Sus scrofa: one gene and its partners. The protein of the gene in region 1 interacts with the protein of each later gene in a pairwise test. Links are inferred from orthologs where the notes say so. Each region holds a gene or a part of one and is shown on either strand. Other genes may lie near its edges.

Region 1 (3,709 bases):
GGCCCAGATAGTATGTTAGAGCATGAACAGGATGGCATAGCAAATTAAATATGCAAACTCTACAGAGACATGTGAAATAAAACTGGGGGTTGTGGATCAAAATAACTGCCAATAACTCAAAGAGGTCATTGTCACCAAGTTCCTCTACCAATCTTATTGTGTCTTTGCGTCCCTCTAGATCAGCTCTATAAACCAAGACCCCAGAGGAAGCCTTGACACCTTGATGATAGCACCTTCAAGACTGAAGACAAAAGAATCAAAAAGCTCCAGGAGAATGTGTAAGTCATTTTTCTCTTCTTCAGATAAAACATAACCCAGACTGCTTTGCCATTAGAGTATATAGGCTGTGGATTTCCACAGTCAGCTTTTGTCATGGCTAAGGATCATTATCTCTTAAGAACCTCTAATGAGAGGAGTTAAATAATCATCTTGTTGAGAACAAAAGTGTGAAAACATGCATAATCCTGTAATTATCTAGTTGATGGACTTTATCTCTGATGTAAACACATCTCTGTCTATATTCACAAAACAAAAATACCTTGCCTTTATATGAGTTCAGGGAGTTTATTTAGAATAGGATACATTTGAAGAGCGCACTCAGAAAACGAACAGAAAAATGTTATACTACAAATTAAAGAAAGATTAATGTAATGTGGCTCAATGTCAAAGTAAGAGGTTTGTATTTTTTAATATTGTATTATTGAAGCATGACTCAGTATCAAATAGGTAATTGAAACATCCACGATATAATTAGGGATTTAGCACCAGATCTGAAAAACCGAACACCTGGCTTTGATATATTTCAACAATACTACTCTTCACTAAAAGTTTGAACATTTTCAATAAAAGATTATTCATCAATTCTCTAATAACTGAAAAGAAACCTTAGACTTTTCAGAAATAGTGTACATGCCTCCTTGGCCCAAATTTCTAAAACAAAGAAATGAATCACAAACTTTCTGGTTAAGTAAACTCAGAATAAACCTCTTTCTTTATATTTAAAGCAAAAACTATTCTTTGAATGATGCTTTACAGTTTTCAAGACTTTCTGTTCTCAAACTTCAATTTCTCAATCATATCAACAGCTGAATAAAAGGAAACTCTTTTCCCTCACAAGGGAAACAATGTATTTGGAACAAAATATTCAACCACTGAATAAACTCTGATCAGTATTATGCAGGAGAATGATATCTGCTTACCCTAGAGACAAAAGATATTGGGTTGGATGCATCTTTTGTAGAGTTCTTCCAGCCTGGCCATTAGCTTAGCTGCAGGGCAGGAATTTCATGTAAACTTCAGTGAACATCAGGTTTGATTTTTAAGTTAAATAAAAGGACTATATGTACTAGAATTTAAATGCTCCTTCATAATCTCTTGCACGCTTTCACTCTGGCCACTTTCCCATAAAACTGAAGTTTGATAAGGGAATCTAGTGAAACTGAGGGCAATGAAATGCAGTAGGCTAAAATTGAGGTGACCGAGATGTCGAGAAAATCGTGAGGGCATGCAAAAACCCAACTGTGTTGCTGAATTCTTTCTGAAGTGCTCTAAAATGTTATGAGATGGGCAAATCTCCATACAACGGCAAGTATAAACATCAGTAGAAAATTTTTCTCAATGTGGCTTGTCAAGCGCTAAAAATCAATTTACTATGGTACCTATATATTGAGTTGCTGCTAATTCAAATTTATTCAGGAAGTCTGATGAGCTTAAGAAAATTTAAGAATCACTTGAAAATAATTTAATTATTTTAAGTTATGAAAACTGGTAAAAAATATTTTGAAGTGATTATGTAATTAAGTGAAAATTCAAGGCGGGCAGTAGACTTTTTTCTTACAGTTCTGGAAAGAAAACAATCTTTCTACCAAATCCTACCAACTTCTCCAGCTGCCTTGCCATCCTGAAGCCACTTGCCTCTTTTATACTCTTCTATTTTTCACAGATATTAGCTCTATATGCTGATATACATTCATTTATTTACCTATCCATTTATTTTTGATTTTCAAGGGCTAAGAACCCATTTGAACCAGGCTTTCAAAGTAAGTCTTTCGCTTATACTTGTTTCCTAGTAAAGTTATACACATGTAGTAAGTAAATCAAACATACGGATGGCTGATCAATGACAGCAGTTATGAAGGTCATGTGCTCCAGAGGGCGAGCTGGAGCTTTCGGTCCTCACCTGTAGAAGTATGAACACCCCCTGACTGTGTTGTGAGTGAAATGTTCCTGAGTCTTCTCATTTCCAAAATCCTCCAGGGGGTCTGACCACAGGATGTCACACATAGGTCCATAAGCAGGTGGTTCCTTGAATCGGTCTAACTAAGAAAAATAAAAGACAGAGAGCAAAATACTAATCTTTGGAAACTTGGAGAAAACAGGAGAAACCAATGTTTTGCAACAGCCACCATCTCTCCCCAGCCCCAGTGCAGTGTGGACTGGCCCCACCTCTCCTTCTGTTCTGCTCACCTTCCTCCCCCTTCTCCTCTCTCAAATTTTCCTTCCTTCTTCCTCCTGATGCTCATTTACTGCGATCTGCCTTCATCTCAGCCTTAACCTCCTGCCTGCCTCTTTAATCCTGCTCTTTCCTTCTCTTTTCTCCTGGTTTCCTTTCCGTCTCTCTTCTCTCCTTCTTTCTTATTTTATCTAGTCAAGTGTTTTAGTCACTGCCAGGTGATGTGACCCTATTTGTGTGTCACTCCTGGAGGAGAAGATTTTATTTTATTCTATCTTTGGGGCAATTTCTGTTACTGCCTCTGTTAAACTGGGATTTAGAAATGAGGATGAGGAACAACTTGGGGTGTTTCCATTTAACAGCATAATTTTGAGAACAGATGGCTTTCATTGTAAAAGTGGCTACTGGCTCTATGACATTTTGGATATGCATTCATTAGGGGCTAAGTTTCTAATCAAAAGCCAAGCTGACTGGAGATATCTTACTGGGTACAAACCAATCGTAATGATAAGCAGTTAAACCCCAATTTAGCTGCGTCATTCTTCAGCTCACTGTTCTAAGCTTTTTATAGTTTCGTCTGAAATTCTCATAGGAAACCCATTTCCCAATTTTCCAGCTGTAAATGTGTAGCAAAGTCATAGTTCAATTTAATATGGTGCATTGAGAAGCTATGACCAATATAATAACTGAAAATGACATTTCACCAAGTTTATAACACTGTCACCTTCCTATAGTTTGTCCTGATGCAGTTGCAATTAAAGGACCTTTAGTGAAGTTAGCAAATATTATGCAGTCTTCCCCTCCACCCAAAAGGATAAAACAGCTATAAAAACCTTAAGAATATTAAGAATTAATATTCTTTATATTCAATGCTTTAATATTTTAAAAAACCTCATAGGGATAGGTGAATATGTAGGGCTGACAGCCCATCAAATTCTATCTTTTTCTGAGACATAAAAGGTTAAGATACAAGTAACAGTCTGCTATATGCCTTTTTTTTTTTTAACTAATATCTAAAAAGCATGAAGCAATATTTCACATTTTCAACACTCAATGAAAAACTTCAGTAAGACAAGACCCTCTAGGAGTTCCCATCGTGACGCAGCAGAAATGAATTCGACTAGGAACCATGAAGTTGAGGGTTTGATCCCTGGCCTCGCTCAGTAGGTTAAAGATCTGGCGTTACTATGAGCTGTGGTGTAGGTCGCAGATGCGGCTTAGATCTGTCACTGCTGGGGTTGTAGGGTAGGCTGGCAG
Region 2 (4,179 bases), on another chromosome or scaffold:
TGACAAAAAAAAAAAAAAAAAAAAAAACACACACTAAATAAAATTTCTTCCAGATGGAGTCACTCCTTTTGTCTTACTCCATGGTTATTTTAGGTGGTTTCTCCAGTTATACAAATACCTAGTTTCTCTATTACTTGTAATTTCTGTCTTTAATTTCTTCATGAAAGCCCTTTTACTGGATATATTTTTGCTTTATTTAACGATCAACCTGACAAGAGAAAACAGAGTGGTATTTTATTTCACCATCAGCCTGCTGTTTTCTGTAGAGACTATGATTCTACCAGGCATGTTTCCCATATAATAACTTACCAAAATGACCGGAGAATAAAAATTGGGGTTTACTTTTGCCCTATCCAAAAAGATTTCAGCATGAATTTATTTTGCTCTCTTTGTTAAAACTTCATTTTGGATTACTCTGCAAATCTGATATTATTTTATCAATTCTGTAGTTGTGCTGTCTTTATGAACTGTTTATGACTCTGAATCGAAAGTTGACAAAAACCACCACTACCACCACCAAAAAACAATAAAGGGCAGGGTGCTGGGCAAGCTAAATTTTATTACATCCAATAAGGAGTTCTGAAGTTGCAAAGGATCTTAGAGATCATTTGAGATTATTCAGATCCAGCCAGATGAAGAAACTGAGCTCCAAAGTGGGCAGCTGGCCCGCTAAAAGCCACACAGTTAGATGAGGTCATAGCCAGAGTTAGAACTGAAGACTTTAACTCTCTGATGTTCTTTCCATTATACCATAAGGTTTCTGTTCTAAAAATGTATATTCCATGAAGGAGGTGCTACTTTTCATACATGCTCTTGGGAAATTTAACATTACTGTCATTCTCCACTCTTAAATTTGTTTGTATAACTTTGACATTTTTTTCCTAAGTATCTGCTGTTTAAACATTTTCCATAACGAGCACGTAACTGAAGATCAGAGTGAATGATAACAGTAGTTGACATTTGTTGAGCAACTCCTGTGTATTAGGAAGTGCTAAGCCCTTTTACACACATCTCTAATCCTCCCACATTATAGAGTAGGTGGTGGTATCACCATCTACAGATGAAGAAATTGAGGCCCAGAGCGAGGTTAATTTGCTCTAGATGAGCTAGTCAATAACAGAGCTCAGATTCAACCCAAAATTGCTTGTTTCTGAAGCCCATCCCCTGAAACTGGGCTTTAGGATTTTCATCAGAAAAAAATGACGTTTTTGGAGATGCTAATCTGCACCAAACTCACTAGCCCGAAAATTTAAAGATTGTTCAGTGGTCATGTAACCAGGATGCAGCCCATCAACTCATAGCTGAAGCAAGAGTAGACTGAGTTCTTGCCATTTTAAAATCAAGCTTTTGAAATTCTTTATATTTTCTTGGTTCTGGAACTAATCTAAAAGCCAAAAATAAATAGATAAGTTGTGCAACTGACAAACTGATTATACATAAACATAAAGGTATATTTTAAAGTTAATCCACAAGATGGTATGATAGTACCAGAGAACAGAGAAAGGAGGTGACCACCTAACAGAAATCCTGTGGATTTTAGTTTATGGATGTCTGAAGATAAGCAAAGGGAATCTTTCTTTGTACTTTTAAAAAAATGTAAATCCTTCACTGTTGAAGGTTTATTTGGGCAACTCCTGATTCCATGAACCACAGAAGGAATTGGAACTCTGAATATCAGTTCATGATGTAAGCAAATATTCCCTTAGGTCGGGTGATACATACTCCATTGCCTCCGACAGAAAGACAAAGCCATCCTACAACCATGATGGAACTAAAATATGAACATTTAACAGTGTCCCTCTAAACATGATACACTAGAACCACAGCTAATTATAGCTCTTTGTCTCCGCACCTCTTATGAATCCTCCCACCTGAGTGTTTTTTTATTAACCGGAGGGATGTATACCTAATAGAAATGCTGATATTAGATCATTTAGGAATGTGTCATTTGAAACTAACTTGGATTGCTCAAGGACAATTGCTTGAGAAGCTCACTGGAATGTATACCAAGATGTAGAACTACAACAGATATCCAAACAAAACCTAACTGAAAGGGGGAGAATGCAGTCTGTGGCTATTAAAACTTTGCGGAACATTAGACTGCAAATGATTCGTCCTTAACCTGCAGAAGTAGTTTTATTGCTCCAGGAAGCTGTAATTTCCTGATAGAATCGCAAGTCTGCTGCCACTGAAAATACCCCTTGCCCTTTTCCCGTGAGCAGAGAAGCACGGAGGCAAAGAGCAGCCACTTCCTGAGAAAAGCGGTGCATCTCTCCCCGCGCCAGGTGTGGGCCACACGAAGCTTCCTTCAGGAGGAAGGCATCTCTCATTCGGCTTGACGCGCCTTATGGCAGGAGCTAGAGCGCAGGATAAAGTACTCAAAAAGGAAAGTGCTGGGGCGGGGAACAGCTAATCCAGCTTCAAGCTAAATGTACAATTATAATGGCCAGGAAGCCCACACCGCATTCGCCCCGAAAAGGGCAAGGAAGGAAAAAAGCTACCAGCTACACAAGCCCCCAGGACAACTCAAACGCGGGGAGGGCAGGTGGGCAGAGTGATGAGGGTCGTACTGAGTGGAGATGTCTGCGGACAAACACCTTCCCCCGTTGTTACCCCGGCCACCTTCGGGGCCCCAGATTCCCGGTGGCCAGCGGGCACCTCCCGCCCACTCCGCCACGCGGGCGGTCGGCGGACCGGACACCGGCCCCGCGCCCTCTTTCCTCACAGCCTCATCGCCCGCTTCACTTACCGAGGGCGCCGGGGTCCCTGGACAACGCTGCCGCGGAGGTCGCGGGGGCGCCCGCGGGGCCGGCGGGAAGGCAGCGGCGCACCGGGAGCGAGCAACCCTCTGCAGAGGGACCGCAGCCGGGCGACGCCCCCTCCCCAGAGCGCGGGGACCGACAGCTGGAGGCACCAATGCGCGTGGAGCAGGCGGGCGCGGGGCGGGGCCCGGGCTGGGGGCGGGGGCGGTGGCCCGGGGGAGGGGCGGGGGGGGGACAGGAGGTCCACCTGCGGGTGAGCCCAGCCCCGGGCGTGGGACCTTCGCGCGCCCAGCCAGGCGGCAATCTTTTAGGCGCGACCACATCCAGGCAAGGGCCGGGGGCCACCGAGAGAGATGGGGAGGGGACCAAGGTCGTAAGCCTTCCATTTTCTCAGATGCAAAGTAGCAAAATCCAATTTTAAACTATGGGCACTCACATCATAAATCCCCCCACTGAATATTTAAAGTCACAGCAGATATCACATTTTAAAAGTAGGATTCAGATCTGTGCAGAGTCAATCTCGTTTGAAAAGAAAAATTACCTATATGAATAGAGAAAATAAAACTTTTCCAGGAATGGGTTTGGGTGTAATGCACTTATCACGGTTCCCTGCCAAAGGTTCTCAGAGGCCCAAGACACAGACCCTTGTCTCCTAAGAATCTAGGAGGAAGGAAGAGATGATGCAAACTGTGTGATATCGATGTCAGAAGGGCACAGAAACACAGCCCCCTCCCTCCTTTACATCTTGTATATTTCCAGGATTCAGTCGATTACAAGTTACCCGTTTCCCTTACATTCCTAGGTGTCTGCTTAACCTTGTCCCTCTCAAGTACAGCGCGGGGTGAGGGTTAGGGGTTTAAAACATGAGTTGACTTTCCTCACAATTCTAGTACAGACCAGAGCAAAGGGCACTGGCAATATTCACTCTCTGTTTGGCTAGGCTGTGTTATTTTCACACATTTTGAGAGTCTTTATCTAAGCAAGTTCCCAGTCATAGTGAAAAGCACCATAAGCATTGATTTGTATACATAATCCACTGTATATAGTGGATTAGCACCAATGAAAGGTGTTGCAGTGAGAGTTTAGGGTGACTTGCTTTGGGCTTAATATTACCTACAAGGGCATTCCTGGGAGCCTCTATGGTGAGGTCCTGCAGGATGCACAATTCCTGCCTCCTCCTCTGGCCCCTCCCAAGCATACTATCTAGATGAAGAAGCTATTAAGGCAGAGGGAAGAACTATGAAAAGCAGTTGTACTTATCTCTTTTCTTCAATAGGACCATGAGCTTTGAGAGAGTAAAGCTCTTACCCACTTTTGGATGCTTATCCAGGAATATAGTTTACCTTTGTAAGATTCTTTATTAAGGAAAGAACTATTTACACAATAGCAAAGCTGAATCTAAGCTGTCAAGATCCTA
Region 3 (4,264 bases), on another chromosome or scaffold:
CAGCAGGTCTCTGGGGGCTCGTCCTGCACCCACACACAGGGACTAGGACAGGGCCCTGGGGGCACGGGCGGCAGCTGCCTGGAGAGCTCTGGCTACAGAGCCACCTCAGAGAAGTGGGAAGAATGAAGAGATTCGAGACCCAACTGTCGAAAGTTAAGATAATAAACAGACAGGTCTTCCTAGGCCCTCGCCCTGCTGTCCTCGGTCCAGGGCTGTGAGACGGCTCAGAAGCTGCAGGTCTGGCCTCAGCTGCCTGCTCCCTGTTGCTCAACTGTTTACAGCACCTTTGCGCATCCTGCGCTGAACACCTTTTAAAAGAGAAAAAAAACGAAAGCGCTTGCTGCCGAGGCAGGTTCACTCCGGAGACCTGAATCCCGCGAGGCTGAACCCTCTGGAGGCGCAGCGCTGGCGACCTGCGGAATTAGCAGGCTCAGTCCTCCGCCCCTGGCTGAACGCGGTCACTGGGTAAGTCGCGTCCTTCTGAGGATCTTCAATTATTCATTAGAAAGCACGAATTTTCATCAGAGATCAGGGCTTTTTTTAAGTGTGGCCTGAATCCACCTGCTAAAAATCGACTTTTGGGCCAGGAATCTCGATGCATTTGAGTTCTCAGGCCTGAGCCCAGAGATCTTCACACATTTTCTGATATTTTACTGGTAATTGTGCCTTTTACCTCTTAATTTACGGTGTGAGCTCCTCAAATGTACGCCTGCTTCCCGCTTCTTTGCATCTCAGCATCCAGGACGGGAGGCCTCGGAGATCCCGACGGATGGGACAGCTTTCCACCTCGTCTTCTGCAGGATGGCGACCAGGAGTGACTCCTGGCTTCTTTCTGACTTTCTACCATGAACACACACTGGGGTTGTCACAGGACGAGAGCACGTTAAAGCTGGGGGCGGGGGACAGGAGTGAGGACGCGGGGCGGGGAGGAGGAGGAAGGCAGCTTCTGTGCAGGGAGGGGCTGCACGCCCGGCCCGGTCCTGTGAGGGGTCAGGCAGTCCCTCCCAGGCCGGGCTGTGGTTCTGGACCTGCAACCTGCAGAGCCTGACACCCTGACGCCCTGGGGGCAGGGGGCAGGTGTAAACAAGGGGGGAAGGAAATACAAGCTGCTGGTGTTTCCGAGAAGAAACGCTTTGATCCGCTCACTTCCTCTTTCAACAAGCGTCCACTGAATGGTCCCTGGGAACAAGCACTTAGATCTTTCTCAGCAAAGGCGGGCAGTGCTTTGACCCTGGGGGTCAGTCTGGCCGCAGTGTGTTCTAGAACTGTGAACACCTCAGCAGGTAAGACCTCTGCTCAGTGGAGCCCAGACGCACAGTGCTGAGAGCCGGCGCGCACGGTGTCGCCAAAGCACCCCCACCTTCACTTTTCAGACGCGAGAGGCGCCTGCCCGCAGCCGCGGGACTGGAGTGGCAGCTGGGATCCAACCACGGGGAGGAGGCACTGCCCAGGCGACAGGAAGATTAATTGTTGAGAGCACCCACTGAGGAAAGAGCGCCTCTGTGGTACTGAGCCGGGTGCCGTGGAGAAACTGGGTCCACTCGACACACTTCACACTCATCCCTCAGCACTCAGCCTGCAGCCAGGGCCCTTGGGGATCTCTGGGGAGCGTCCTGCGTGGGGCAGGCTCCCTGACTGCCAGGTGCTGCGCGGGGCTGGCAGCCTGGCCCGGAGACCCTCACCAGCAGGGGCAGAGCTCACGGTGTTGCACTTTGCCGATACTGCATTTTCAAAAAACTGCAGCTTTGTGGCAACTCTGCTGAGCGTCTACTGGCACCATTTCCCCAAAAGCATCTGCTCACTTTGGGTCACATTTTGGTCAATCTCACATGTCAAACTTTTCCATTACTGTCACTTGTTACGGTGAGGTGTGACCGGGGCTTTGAGGGGGGTGTGGTTAACTGCTTTGGACACCACAAGCTGTGTGCATGTGAGACCGTGACCTTGTGGCCAGGTGCGCTCTGACCGCCCCCGTGACTGGCCACGAGCCCCCCCTCCCGTCCTCGGGCCTCCCTCTTCCCTGAGACGCGATGTGGAAATGAGGCCAATCCACAAGCCTGCAGCGGCCTCGCCGGGCTCCCAGGGAAGGGAGAGTCGCGTGTCTCTCACTTTCCATCAAAAACCAGACGAGACCGAGCTTCGTGCAGAAGCGGAGACAGAAGTCCGTTGTGCCAAACGGGCATCTGAGTCGTGAGAGGAAGGCGGCCTTCTCGAAGGGAGTGGAAGCACGGATCCAGGGAGCACCCAAGGGAGGAGCGCGCCAAACAGCCTCCCTGCTGCCGTGGAGAAGGCTGCGCTGCTCCGGACAGAAGATGAGAGCAGCCACACGCCCCTAAGCCGAGGCCTCGACCGGAGCAGGGCCCGCACTCTCTCCGATTCTGCAGAGGCTGCCGCAGGCGAGGGAGCTGCAGGAGGCAATGAGCAGACACCCACCCGCAGAGGCCGGGTCACGAGGCCGAAGCACAGAGGCCGCCTCCACAGCTCCGAAGCGCGCGGCGAGGGGCACGAGCCGAGGGAGAAGCTGCAGCTCGGATCACCCAGGAAGGTGGCCACGCGGACAGATGTTCAGGGGCCACCAGACAGCCTCCTGGTGTCAGGAGACGCCAGCTAGGACTTCGAGGGCTGGAGGGGGACGTCCGCGCCGGGCGTCAAAGCTTCGGAGGCCAGGCCGACTCTGCTGGGGGCTCATGCGGCTGGTGACTTTCAGGTGAAGCCAGGGCTCGTTGGCGATTTCACATGTCCCAGTGTCCTTCAGGAGGACGCTAAAGCCACTCGGCCTGTGCTCTGGACGTGGAACAAAGCCTGGATGACGGCACGTCTGCTGACAACACGGTTTACTGAGTGTTTTGTTTTTTGTTTTTTTTTTTTTGCTTTTTTGCACCTGTGGCATATGGAGGTTGCCAGGCTAGGGGTTGCACAGCCAGAGCAACTCAGGGTCTGAGCCCCATCTGTGACCTACGCCACGGCTCAGGGCAACGCCAGATCCCTGACCCACTAAGTGAGGCCACGGATGAAACCCGCAACCTCATGGATACTGGCTAGATTCGTTTCTGCTGCACCACAATGAGAACTCCCCCACTGAATACTTTAACCCCACTGTTGAGACCTGAAAGTCAGAAAAAAGATTCTTTTCAAATTATTACTGTTCGCCTGGTCCCCCAAGAGCTCTGATGGAGACGCGCGCTGGGGTTAGACTTCTTTAGCGTCTGCTAACACAGCAGCCACGCTGCAGCCTGTGGGTCGAGGAGTCACTCTGCCTTTGAAGTCTTGCTATTTACGAAACACATTTCGGAGTTCCTGTCATGGCTCAGTGGTGATCGAATCCGACCAGGAACCAAGAGGTTGCGGGTTTGATCCCTGGCCTCACTCAGTGGGTTAAGGATCCGGCGTTGCTGTGAGCTGTGGGGTAGGTCACAGACACGGCTCAGATCCCACACTGCTGTGGCTGTGGCACAGGCTGGCGGCTACAGCTCTGATCAGACCCCTAGCTTGGGAACCTCCATGTGCTGTGGGAGCGGCTCTAGAAAAGGCAAAAAGACAAAAAAAAAAGAAACACATTTCCTAAGGTTATAGCTGCCACAGTGATCCTCTGATGAATCTGGGCAAAGTACACTGAAAACCTTCTGGAAAGAATTCACCTTTCCAGATGCCATCAAGAACATTTGTGACTCTGGGGAAAAGGTCAGAATATTAAAATTAAGAGGAGTTTGGGAGTTCCCGGCAGGGCTCAGCATAAACGAAACTGACTAGCATCCATGAGGATGCAGGTTTGATACCTGGCTTTGCTCAGTGGGTTAAGAATCCGGTGTTGCCGTGAGCTACGGTGCAGGTCAGACACGGCTCGGATCTGGCGTTGCTGTGACTGTGGTGTAGGCTGGAAGCTACAGCTCTGATTCAACCCGTAGCCTGGGGACCTCCATGTGCTGCGGGTGCAGCCCTAAAAGAAAAAACAGGAATGTGGAAGACGTTGATTGCAGCCCTCTTGATGCCTTTGAGGGGCTCAGACTTTGGGGGCGGCGGTCACTGCAGATGTGAACACAGCGAGAGAGCTAGAACTGCAAGTGGAGCCTGAAGATGGGACTGAGGCGCTGCGATCTCACGACAAAACCTTCAGTGGCTGAGGCGCTCTTGGGAGCGAGCAGAGCCCACTGTTTCCTGAGATGGAATCTACTCCTGGTGCAGCGGCTGGGAACACCGCTGACACGACCACGACGACGGAGCCACAATACAACGTCAAATTCGTTGAGAAAGCAGGTTTGAGGCT

What was found. The genes of interacting proteins can lie anywhere in the genome.
Region 2: the proteins of PPP3CA (region 1) and AKAP5 interact in binary tests that used the Homo sapiens proteins (3 or more experiments, as listed by UniProt). The link is inferred for Sus scrofa from reciprocal best matches to the Homo sapiens genes PPP3CA and AKAP5.
Region 3: the proteins of PPP3CA (region 1) and C6H16orf74 interact in binary tests that used the Homo sapiens proteins (3 or more experiments, as listed by UniProt). The two-hybrid records come from large-scale screens. The link is inferred for Sus scrofa from reciprocal best matches to the Homo sapiens genes PPP3CA and C16orf74.

The regions. Positions count from the first base shown.
Region 1 is NC_010450.4:119,688,405-119,692,113, reverse strand, and holds part of PPP3CA (serine/threonine-protein phosphatase 2B catalytic subunit alpha isoform), read right to left. Parts: intron 2,320-3,709; coding exon 2,180-2,319; intron 1-2,179. UniProt on the Homo sapiens protein: Calcium-dependent, calmodulin-stimulated protein phosphatase which plays an essential role in the transduction of intracellular Ca(2+)-mediated signals. Many of the substrates contain a PxIxIT motif and/or a LxVP motif.
Region 2 is NC_010449.5:88,537,689-88,541,867, reverse strand, and holds the start of AKAP5 (A-kinase anchor protein 5), read right to left. Parts: upstream 2,931-4,179; 5' UTR 2,750-2,930; intron 2,744-2,749; exon of another isoform or gene 2,257-2,743; coding exon of another isoform or gene 2,223-2,256; exon of another isoform or gene 1,783-2,222; coding exon of another isoform or gene 1,707-1,782; intron 209-1,706; exon of another isoform or gene 1-208. UniProt on the Homo sapiens protein: Multivalent scaffold protein that anchors the cAMP-dependent protein kinase/PKA to cytoskeletal and/or organelle-associated proteins, targeting the signal carried by cAMP to specific intracellular effectors.
Region 3 is NC_010448.4:3,155,904-3,160,167, reverse strand, and holds the start of C6H16orf74 (uncharacterized protein C16orf74 homolog), read right to left. Parts: upstream 2,931-4,264; 5' UTR 674-2,930; intron 1-673.